2 linked regions of the Caenorhabditis elegans genome follow. The protein of the gene in region 2 interacts with the protein of the main gene of each other region in a pairwise test. Each region holds a gene or a part of one and is shown on either strand. Other genes may lie near its edges.

Region 1 (3,372 bases), 800 kb from region 2:
CATTAGAAATAATCTACTTACTTGAATTCCCAACCACTCATTAGATTCTCCCTTTTCAATCTATCAACTGCAATTGAAGCTGCTGCTGCAGATGTACGATATCCAACAGTGATAGGTGCACTTTGAAAGTCTCTACAGTGAATAAATCCCACTCGAATCACATTTCCAGTGGTACCTGTTGCAACTTGGGGAAACATAGGTTTAGGTAACAACTGAAAAAAAATCATTTTTATTTTGTGGAATTCGCTTTCAAAACCTACCGTAATCACTAAAAACAAAACTAGAGACATTGAATAGAAGGGCTTCATGATTATTTTCTTATGCTAAACTGGCAGACAGCAGATCTTTTTATATCTGCACAAGGGGCGGTGGGATTTATAGAAACTTAAGTTTACTACGCCTGCCGCCTAATCCGTGAAACCTTATTTTTATATTTTTCCGCCTCCCGAAACAGTTGATACGTGAAAAAGCACGGAAGAGAAAAAAGCTTCTTTTGGACTTGATTAATCTGTTGGTCATGAGAAAGCGTGACACAAGGTAGGTTACGGTAGCAATTGCGTAATTAATCGGATCAGTCTATGCGCATTTCTGAAACATTGGGGATTTCAAATCTAGTTTATCAAACAGATACAAATCACATTGACATCTCGTGGAAACAGTCTGTAAAGTACCGCAAATTTTACAATTTTTGATATTATTGTCGTTAAACAAGTTCCATTTCAAATTTTTTATTGAATACGGTAAAAAAACAAGAGAGGCAGCTGGTTGAAGTGAGTCACTCTTGTTGAGTTTTCGTTACTGGAAACCTGAATGAAGATAGTTTTTAACTTTAGCATTACGCCTCATTATTTTCCTATTTCCTTTTTACTATTTTACTTGTATTTTTAAACTTTGTTTAGCACATTGAGCACATAAAACCAAATGTTATAAATATCCTTATCATCAACCCATCGGTTTCTTTTTAACTTTTTTCTTTCTCGAATTTCAATGACCCGGAAAACCACCACATCATATGAAAATCGAATCTAAAAATTTGCAGATACGCATCTGTCCTGCTGCGCTCTTTTTTTATTTTTGAATGTTTTTTTTTCTGCAAACGTTGGGAACAGTCATCCAATCCTTCAACCGTTCGTCTCGTTTTGAATGACAAACGTTCTCTTTCCGTCCTCTGTTTGAGTATATTTACATTGCTAATTCAAAAAAAAATAGTATAGAATATAATGATACTTAGAGATAGTTCTGGCATAAAGTTTAAACTTGAATGAAATCATCAATGCCATTAATAACTGTGTCACTGCATTAGTTTATCAGCAAGTGTGCCAGCAAAAAAAACGTTTCGAGACGATTCGATACATTCCTGAAAAACTTCGATAAAAGGGAAGTATCCAAACAACCACACCCAACTTTCATCATTGACTCGCTGTTTTGCTTTTTATTTTTGTTAATCTTCCTTACAATTAGTTTTAAAGTTTAAAACAAATATTACATGTTAGAAAGAACTGTATTTTGGTCAGTTTGTTCGAATAATTTCGAAATCTAAAACCTTTTCTTTTTGATGATTCGTCGGAGTAGATGTTTCTCGAAGGAGGTAAAAAAAACCGTGGGCGATTCTTGTTTGCATTGAGGATAATAGAGCAGTAGTAGAAAAGCAGGGAGTGTCAACTCAGTTTTGTCTTCTTCTTCCCCTATTTCTGTCTTACTTTCGTTTTGTTTCTTTGAAATAATTAGATTTTCAGAAACTATTATAAAATGGATCGTCGTTTTCCACCATTCTCCCCATTCTTTAACCATGGCCGGTAAGTTTCTAAATTCTCGTGTTTTCGGAAACTTCTATAGTTGAAGTAACATAACTTTCTGTAAATTTTCTTCTTTAATAAGTGACGTCACTCAAATTGTACTCTGCGCCGCTAGTTCTTAAAATACACAAGAATTTAATTTGGCGCGATTTCTAAAAATAAGCTAGCGAGAGGACTTTGTACTCCAGTTTAGCAAATAATGCTCTGAAAAATCATAAAGACTGGAGATTTTGACATATTTTTCTGCAATTAGAAAATTAGAAAATTAACTTTAAAAATTTTACAAAACTCCTACAAACAAGTTTTCTAGCAGATTCTTCGATGACGTCGACTTTGATCGCCACATGATCCGACCATACTGGGCCGATCAAACAATGCTCACTGGACACCGAGTAGGAGATGCTATTGATGTTGTGAACAACGATCAAGAATACAATGTATCTGTAGATGTTTCACAGTTTGAACCAGAAGAGTTGAAAGTGAACATTGTTGATAATCAGCTAATCATCGAAGGAAAGCATAACGAGAAGACTGATAAATATGGACAGGTGAGGGTTTCCCTCCTTCTTGAAAAACTCAAGTTTTGTATGAAGCTAGTGCAACTTGAAAATGTTTTCATGCATCCTTAGATTAGCTCTCAAGATCCTGAAACCTTACTCGGAAAAGGGCAAAAAGTTATCCAAAATAAAGGCCAAGAGTTCTAGATTATCCTTCCGCCTGTTACGCAATACAAGGAAGCCAAGCAACTCATTTCCGAGCTTATAACGAAGTTGTACTAAAGTCTAAAACCTCGTTGTGCATACTTTCAGGTAGAGCGTCACTTTGTCCGGAAGTATAACCTTCCAACAGGGGTCCGTCCAGAACAAATCAAGTCCGAATTGAGCAACAATGGAGTGCTCACTGTCAAATATGAGAAGAATCAGGAACAGCAGCCAAAATCCATTCCAATCACAATTGTGCCAAAGAGAAACTGATTTCAGTTACCTAAGTGTCTGTATTTTAACTATTTCAAAAATATTTATTCAATTCCATTATTGAAGTGACAATATAAACATTTTGTTTAGACTCCAACAATCTTTTGAACCGTAATGAATAGAGCATATGGGAACATGGATGGCCTCTTCACTTTCACATAAACTGAGCAGAAGTTGAAATCATCATAATAATCATAATCGATTCGAACTCCTTGTGAGTTTAAATCAACTTGCATTGAAGCGATTGAAGTATCGTTTGGTGATCCAATCGTTGAGAAAACCTTGAATTTAATCATGAAATCTTTTCAAATAGTGACGAAATTATACCTGTTGTGCTAGAGCAAGTGGAAGACTTCCATTGATAACTGCAGATGATACAATGACGTTTTCGAGTGTTTTATCTTGACAATGAGATTGACACCATTGAACTTGGGATACATCTTTTCCGCAATTGGAAAGTGAAGCGTCTGGAAATTTCTTAAAATCGATAGGAAATCTTTTAAAATTAGTTTAGAATACTGATGCAACACATTAAACATGATAAGATTCATTCTTTCCTGTTAGCAGATTAATTTATAATTGATGAGCTTTCTCTATCAATG
Region 2 (7,597 bases):
TTGAAAAGCGCCGAGTGACGTCGATGTTGATGGGAGAGGAAGTTGAGACGATTGTCGGTACTACATGTGTATTGAGCAAGAATTCTGGAAAATTGAAAATAAAGTGAAATTTGAACTGATCCACAAGAATCTCTCACCCAGAGCCTAAAAAAGTCAAGAGATTTGTGTCTCCATACCGGAATATCGTATCTTCGTCATTTCCAGAGTGGTGGAGAAGAACATGTTGCTGAAAATCCAAAAATATTAATTGAATTTAAAAAGTTTGGGTTATCCTACAATCATTGAATCAAGTATCGTCCGTTGTATAGTTGGTGTTGGTAGTACACCTAGAAGATGTGGCCTTCGGAACTTTGCGTGTAGATGTTCGGAATTTGAAGATGACTCGGCACTAGTTAAAGTTAAGGGATGTATATTTTCATATTGTTCAGGAGTTTCGTTCTTGCCAAAATCTGGAAAATAAAATTAAGTCTGACTAGAACAATTATATTTTTTAAAATCTTACCTGCAAACATCATCTTCCTTGGAAATTGTGCAGTTTTCTTGCGTCCAACTCCCATTAGAGTGTAGATATCGGCTCGGTAGGCGCTAACATTTGAGAATTCACTGGCGAATTTCTGAAAAAAAAATTTCATATTCTGCTTTCCCAATGGAAATTCCCATTTAATTTTATATTCACAACTGTGGCACGTAGTAGTGCAACTGACCATTGAAAAATGAAAAATGTGTGAATCGCAACCACATGTTAGTAATGGGATCGCGTTCAATTCATTCCAATAAATCCAATTGGTCGTCGTCGTGTTTTTTATGGATTACACAACGACCAACACACATTGGGACTCGCGTTCAAATTTTCAACTACTGGTCAGAAGCCCTACAGACTTGAAATAATCTTGTTGGATATTTTAAGTTTGAGGGCTTGAAAATTATTTTTTGTACTCACCACCCGGACGGGTATTCCCAAGTTGGAATAAGACAAATTGGTCATATCTCTTTCTGACACGTCGATTTGTCTTTGTGTCGGAAGATTTGCGTAAGATTAATTTGACAATATTGACTATATTGACTATATATATATATATATATACATACATATATATATATATATATATATACATGTATATACATGAATGTAGTGCCGACTATTTACGTGAGAAGTGCAAATTAAATTGTATTGGATCCGTCACATGTTTGCTCTTGTTTTCGATATTTTATGGCTCAATGAACTATAATGAGTCTATTGTCTGATCCTACGGGCTTATGCGTCGGCTTTCACTGAAATAATCCGTTTTGGGGGTTTTCCAGACTAGTTTGAGCATTGATTTAAGCTCTTTTTCGATAAGGAAGTATCTATTCCAAATTTCCAGAGAATGAATAGAACTTTAAGACTATTCTTCTTCCTCCATCTTTTTATTCTCGATGTTTTTGAATACAAATTGTTGTGTTTGTCTTCTTATTCTTCCTCTATTCGTTTTGGAAAGAGAAGGCGTTAGCTCTCACGCAAAATTTCCCCCTGTTCGTTGGCACAAAAAATGAACCAGAAAATTGATGATGACACTTTAGCATCGTGGCGGTTGTTGGAGCCCCGTTGTCTTTATTCGACTCGAACAAAAGGTGGCATCGCGCACGAAAACAGAGAGTGGGGAGCTCAGTCACTTTTTTCCTGTTGTTCTCTACATGAGAGAGCGAGATCTTCACAGCAAGGGTGCCTGGCTCGATTCGCCCCGCAAAACTGATTGACTTTTCGAGGGTAGTGGTATTCCCACAGCGAAACTTGTCACAATTCATTCACATTCTCACGAGTTTCTTCTCCTTCGTCTTCTTCTGTTACTTTTTACGCTCATCTCGCCCGCCTTTTTGTGAGTTGTCAGTGTGCCGCTGTCGAGCAGTAAGAACGAAGCAAAAAAAATGGGCGGGGCTTGAGCACCCAAGAAGAGATGAAGACAAACGGGTGTTCTTTGTAAGTGTATGAAGCTAGGAGGGCGGTTTCGCAGTGTTTGCTCTGATAGGTGAGATGAGAAATTGTTAGAGTGGTTTCGTCACTCCAGAATGTATCTAGAATTCCTAAATCTTGATTATTTTTCGGCGGGCATTGTGTGTCTCGTGTATGATTCATAGATTTCGTCAACGCCAGTTTTGAAAATCTAAAATTTTTCCAAAGGTTTTCTGATAGAATACTGTAGCATAAAACTCTGGCATTCGTAATAAAATTCCGGAAACCCCCGTAATTAGTTTGTTATTTCCTAACAAGATTTTTGATTCATTATGTATTGGAGCTCAAATTGGAATCTTATATTTCTATAACTAGTATAGAAATTTCAAGTTCCATAGAGAGTTCTAGATCAAAATGAGCCTTGTGACTCAAACTATGGGTGATAAATTACATTGTCTTGGCAACAAGCTGCCTTTAATCAATTCGGATTTTTAAGAGCTGCTCTATGAACACTGAGACAAAAGTAAATCCAAAATAAAACGAACAAAAAGGTTTCTTGATACTTCATCAGCAATTCCTTATTCTCCAGAGTCTTTGTGGTTTTTCGTTGTTTTTTTTATTTGGTCGTTCTTAGAGCAGATTCTAATGATCTCTGTGTTGTTTTTTCGCTTTTCCTGCTAATCCGACAGCTTGTTTCTAGGTATACGAAACCTTCAAAACTTAGTCATAAGAAGGAGAAGAAGTCAAAAATGGCCAGAATAAAATATACCTAGTATGCTTTTTTTTGACTCAATCAAGATGTCCAACTATAGAAGATTAGCGAGAAATGTAGAAAAATAACTGACAGCTTTCTAGACACTCGAGTTTTCGAGTACCAGAAAACCTCAAATAGATGTTCGAATTTTTGGCTAAAACGTAGAGCCATGAGAAAGTAGGAAATACCTATAACAAATAATCGTGAAAAGTCAAAAAGCAAATTTCTGATTGTTTTCTGAACTTTAAAAGTTGAGTAGAGCCAGTGGGACTTTCCCATAATGAAGCAAAAGGTAAATCTGCTTTTTAACACTTTAAAGTGTTTTAAATTTCCAAAATTTCTAGTCAACTACTTGTTCCATTTTTGAGAAGTCACAGATCACAAATTAGGAAGAAAATAGACGACTTCCCAAATCTTGAGGCTATGCTCTCTCTTCTTTTTCTTATTTCTCTTCCGAACATCATTTACTTCCCAAATTGAATCTGTACAGCCGTTATTTTTTGGCATCCTGTTCCTGGTTCAAAATTTTGTTGTAACGTAGATTTTCCCAGTTTTCTTAAATTGCTTGTTCTAGATCCATTTTCCACTAGATTCTCATCATCAACAACAACAAGTTGAGTTAGTGAGAACTTTTTGAAAGGGAGGAAGTGCGGTCTTTTTGTAGGTTTTCTTCTTCATGTGGGCTCTCGAAGAGTAACCTTTTCCTTCCTGCTTTATCGCAAGGCGGGCATAGAGACAAAAAGTGTATTTACTTTTTGAGAAGACGGCGACGACTCAAAGTGAGGGAGGTCACTCTTGGTGAAAGGAGAAGAAGAAGCACAACAAGCTTATTCGTTCGGTGAGCACAGCAACAGATTCTCAGATATCCGATGCTCCATGCGGTTTCATGAGGTATGTTCTTGAAAACGAAACCGTTTCCATTCCGAATTTGATTTCAGAATTGTATCTTCCAACTGCTTCTGTACTATTCTACGATCCTCCTAGAAGTGGTAGAGTCAAATGTAATATTCACTGTAGAAGAGAGCAATGTAACCACACCTATTCGTCATTTACACCGACTTCGGCATTCGAAAGGTTACTGTAGCACCTCTATTGGAAATGACTCATTGCTTCTATTTTTAAGGACCCTCTCCATATTTAACCGCCTCGTCATCTGTCATAAACCAGCGCGAGTCGAATCGTCTGGAGTCGTTCTCACTGAATTGCCCACATGTTGTCGATTCGAGTAATAAAAACGTGAGGGTCTTACCGAAAATGACTCGTATGATTTTTTTTGAGTTTAGGTTCACATTGAGGTCGTGTGGACTCTAAACGAAACTGTTTGGCTGAAGATCGAGAAAGGCCATCAACGAGTTGTGAATGGAGAGTCGACGTTTAACAAGAGACGCGTGTCAGGTTAGTTAGAAATTCCACTTGAGAACTTCAGTACTTCATGCATTAGTTAGTGTGGCTGCTGGTAGGAAGGAGCCGGAACTTTACTAAAGGGCATAAATAACCGGTTGTTGGATTCTGTGAAAGGTGTCAGTGGCCAGATTTATAGAATCCTGTCAATTTCATGAAAAAACTTGAACTTCTCTCTTCCCATAGATTTTGCCAATTAGGAGGCTGCTCGCCGAGCACGAAATGTTTTCTTAGAGCAAAATTTGATATTTCAGGGAAAACAGTGATGCGTCTACTACTCAACAACGCTCGATACCTTTTTGATTATGATGAGCTAACTGGAGACTTTTCAATGGAAATCTCGCCAGTTCTTTGGTCTTCCGATAGTGGAGCATGGCAGTGTCACGTCACCGTTCGCCAGGAAAACGGGAAATCTCACACTCTAACCAGCCGTCGTCGTATCAAGGCAGGCGAGATCGGAGTACGGAAAGAGACTCGTCAAGAAATGAGAACGAAGACAAAGAAGGAGGACATTGCGTTGCTTTCTCGGGTTAGTAGTATAACTATTACGAGAAGATATTAGATTATAAGTGGAAGAGAAGCGGCGATGCGAATAAATGAAATGATCTGAGTTTCAGATAGAGGAAAAGCCGGAGAAGATGACGGAAAAGGAGGAAGAACCAAGAGTTGAGGAGAAAGAGAATGTAGAATTCGCTAATGTAGGGAAAGGTGGGCTATTCATAATCAATCCAAATTAATAGAGACGTATTGTTGAGAAGTGAAATCTCTAAAATGATCTTTTTAACTTATAGGAATAACTTCATTTAAGGTAATCTCAATGAGTTTAAATTTCGGAAATATCAAAAGGTTTTGTCAAGTTACGGTATTAAATATTCAGAATCATCTCCGATTCTTCTACAAAAACGAGGAGATAGATCGTCGGATCACTTGCATCACAACGTGGCATCATTTTCTCGAAACTCTGATGACAACGTCTATATGACACGGTAAGCTTAATATAGTGAATTTTTGAAGACCTGCTCCTTTTAGAAAATCCGAAGAAATTTCTACAAATGTGATTTTTGCTCGAACCGACGGAGCGCTTCGGCATCATCACAAGCCAATCAGACATCGAGAGTTGGAACGATTATTCGATGCTCAGATTGATTATGAACTCGGTGAGAAGGGTCTACACACAACTTGAGATTATTGTTAAATTTCAGATATGTCAACCGACGACATGTACTACCAGAATTTGATGAACACACGAGCGCGTGCGCGGAGTGCACATTATTACTACAATGAAGGAAACAGTAAACGAGCATATCTCACTTTTTGTTCGCTATTTTTTGCCACTTTTTACTTGTTTTTGTGAAAAACAATAAATAAATATGGGTAACTTACCTTTGCATTTTTCGAGAAAACATGAGATGATTCCACGATTACCACACTTGACACGTTGCGATTCAGAAGACGTTCGGCGAATTTTGTGGAATGAAAATTGAAAAGTGTGACATCAATATCCGATAGTGAGGTTGTCATTGACGATGATTTTTGAAGTGATCGCATCAGAATTGACAGTGCTGATTTGATGGGAGCATGTCCGTCGGATCGATTTTCTTCGATTACTTCGGAACGCTTCTTTTTATCGTCTGACGAGCTAGTTGATTCTTCGTTTTCTGCGAATTCTGTCTCGGAAGATGTTGCGGGGGGCATCGAGAAATTTGGAGAAGAATCGATGGGTAAATCCAGGGACGATTCTGGAGCAGAATTCCACGACCAGACATCGGGATCAAATACTTGAGAGCTCACGAGAGGTGCCTGAAAATCATTTATTTAAAATTTGGCAAAAAATTTAGATTTCAAACCTTTACATCTTGACATGTAGGATTTTTTCGAATTGTGGAAATGCATCGAATTCGATTCCATATTCGCATTTCTGAAAAACTAGATTATTATTTTATTTTGGAAGATTAGGCTATTATGAACAAAAAAGCAACTTTTGAAAATTGAAATTGAAAAAAAATGTTACAAAATGAAAAGCGAGAGTTTCCAAATCGTGTGCAGATTTCGAGAGACGCAGGCGAAAAAGGAAACGCAAATGCGCTCCACCGCAATTTTTTGTTTTTATTTTTTTCCCATTTCATTTTTTTGCGATGAATATTTAATATATTTGCAATTTTTCCTTTTCTTGTCTTTTTAATTAAATTTTTAATTTAACCAGATGAATTTTCAGGTAAATCTGTACATAAAACTAAGTATTCAACCCGAAAAACAGTGTGTCTAGCATAGTATCAATGCTTAGGTGCTAGTTTTGTACAAATTACGGTTTCCAAATGCCGTTTTCTAAGAAAAATGAACAAAATGGTGGAATCACAGAAGCAGCGCTTCAGGTAAACAAATAAGCAAGTTCAGAATTCTCATTAAAATCACATTTTGCAGGCTATAAAGCAAGAGCCTTTGGATCAAAGGGAACAGCTCCCTGAAGAAATCAAATTAAAACCCGGTGAAATGATTCTTGTTCCAGATGATCCAATGCTTCCTGGGTAATACAATTTTGTTTTAATTTAATCTTGAAACTAATTTTCCAGAAACTCTACAGCTTCTACTTCAAATTTCTCCAGAGAAGAACTTCCGGGTCCTAGTGATGTTGTGCGAACAATTTCTAAAAACGATCTCATGATGTCAAGGTTCATTGATTGAATAAATAAATTTTTTACACAAAATTTTTTTTTCAGAAAAACTGCTGCGCCATCTTCGTGTCCACCGAAGGAGCAGTCGATGAAGCCCAGTTTTCAGACTGAAAAAATTATGGGCGATTTTGTGAAGCAACGGAGGTATTTAAAACTAAAATTTTTAATTCAAACTGTTCTGAAGTGCTTTTTAAAATATAATTTTTCTTCTTTTTTCCAGAAAGCTGAACTTCGCGACGCCGTGGCCAAGAAAAGATCCAGGGCCTTCATCAAATTCTTGGCTCACAGAATATCGACCATCAGTACCTGGGAATCAAATTGAAAATTCAAATATAGAAAATTTAATGTTTGTTGAAAGCAAAGATGAAAGAAAAAAATTGTTTTTTTTTCAGCAAAAAAGTAGCTCCCTTCTACTCTCGCACCACTCACGAAAGTCCACATTCATCTCAAACTGTCGAAGATTTTAGGTCAGAAATTTTGAAAAATAATAGCTCAACAGTTAGAAAAAATGACCGACTGTGAAGAAAATTTAAAAATTTATATAAATTTTTTATGATTTTTTTCACACATATTTCCGATAAGAAAATTATAAAATGATGTTAAATTATGCATTTTTTCAGCGAATTTTTTCGGGTTATCAAATTTTCTTTACGGAAAAAATTGACAAACCGAGTTTCAAATCTAATATTGATGAAAAAACCAAGAAAAACCTATGAGTTTAGCTAGAAAACGAAAAAAAAACGAATTCAAAAATAATTAGATCTTTTTCAAATTTTTGCAAACTTGAAATAATCGTAAAATATATTATCATTAGGGTCCATTTTCTATGATTTGGAGCAA

The links. The genes of interacting proteins can lie anywhere in the genome.
Region 1: the proteins of C50E3.5 (region 2) and hsp-17 interact in a two-hybrid assay, tested with the Caenorhabditis elegans proteins (one large-scale study listed by BioGRID).

Annotation. Positions count from the first base shown.
Region 1 is NC_003283.11:8,384,292-8,387,663, reverse strand, and holds hsp-17 (SHSP domain-containing protein), read left to right. Parts: upstream 1-1,736; 5' UTR 1,737-1,749; coding exon 1,750-1,796; intron 1,797-2,106; coding exon 2,107-2,344; intron 2,345-2,605; coding exon 2,606-2,770; 3' UTR 2,771-2,856; downstream 2,857-3,372. Other genes in the region: gcy-7 (Guanylate cyclase), read right to left, coding at 22-212, 261-308; F52E1.14 (ZP domain-containing protein), read right to left, coding at 2,857-3,051, 3,098-3,237.
Region 2 is NC_003283.11:7,586,402-7,593,998, reverse strand, and holds the start of C50E3.5 (SpoU_methylase domain-containing protein), read right to left. Parts: upstream 6,004-7,597; 5' UTR 6,002-6,003; coding exon 5,933-6,001; intron 5,886-5,932; coding exon 5,469-5,885; exon of another isoform or gene 5,440-5,468; coding exon of another isoform or gene 5,288-5,439; intron 5,243-5,287; coding exon of another isoform or gene 5,115-5,242; intron 5,072-5,114; coding exon of another isoform or gene 4,963-5,071; intron 4,794-4,962; coding exon of another isoform or gene 4,703-4,793; intron 4,615-4,702; coding exon of another isoform or gene 4,340-4,614; intron 4,080-4,339; coding exon of another isoform or gene 3,968-4,079; intron 3,921-3,967; coding exon of another isoform or gene 3,808-3,920; intron 3,759-3,807; coding exon of another isoform or gene 3,623-3,758; intron 3,576-3,622; coding exon of another isoform or gene 3,561-3,575; exon of another isoform or gene 3,445-3,560; intron 615-3,444; coding exon 503-614; intron 450-502; coding exon 277-449; intron 227-276; coding exon 138-226; intron 85-137; coding exon 1-84. Other genes in the region: C50E3.6 (Ig-like domain-containing protein), read left to right, coding at 3,561-3,575, 3,623-3,758, 3,808-3,920, 3,968-4,079, 4,340-4,614, 4,703-4,793, 4,963-5,071, 5,115-5,242 and 1 more; F19F10.11 (Lin-15A/B-like domain-containing protein), read left to right, coding at 6,401-6,457, 6,507-6,610, 6,656-6,754, 6,803-6,901, 6,978-7,103, 7,150-7,224.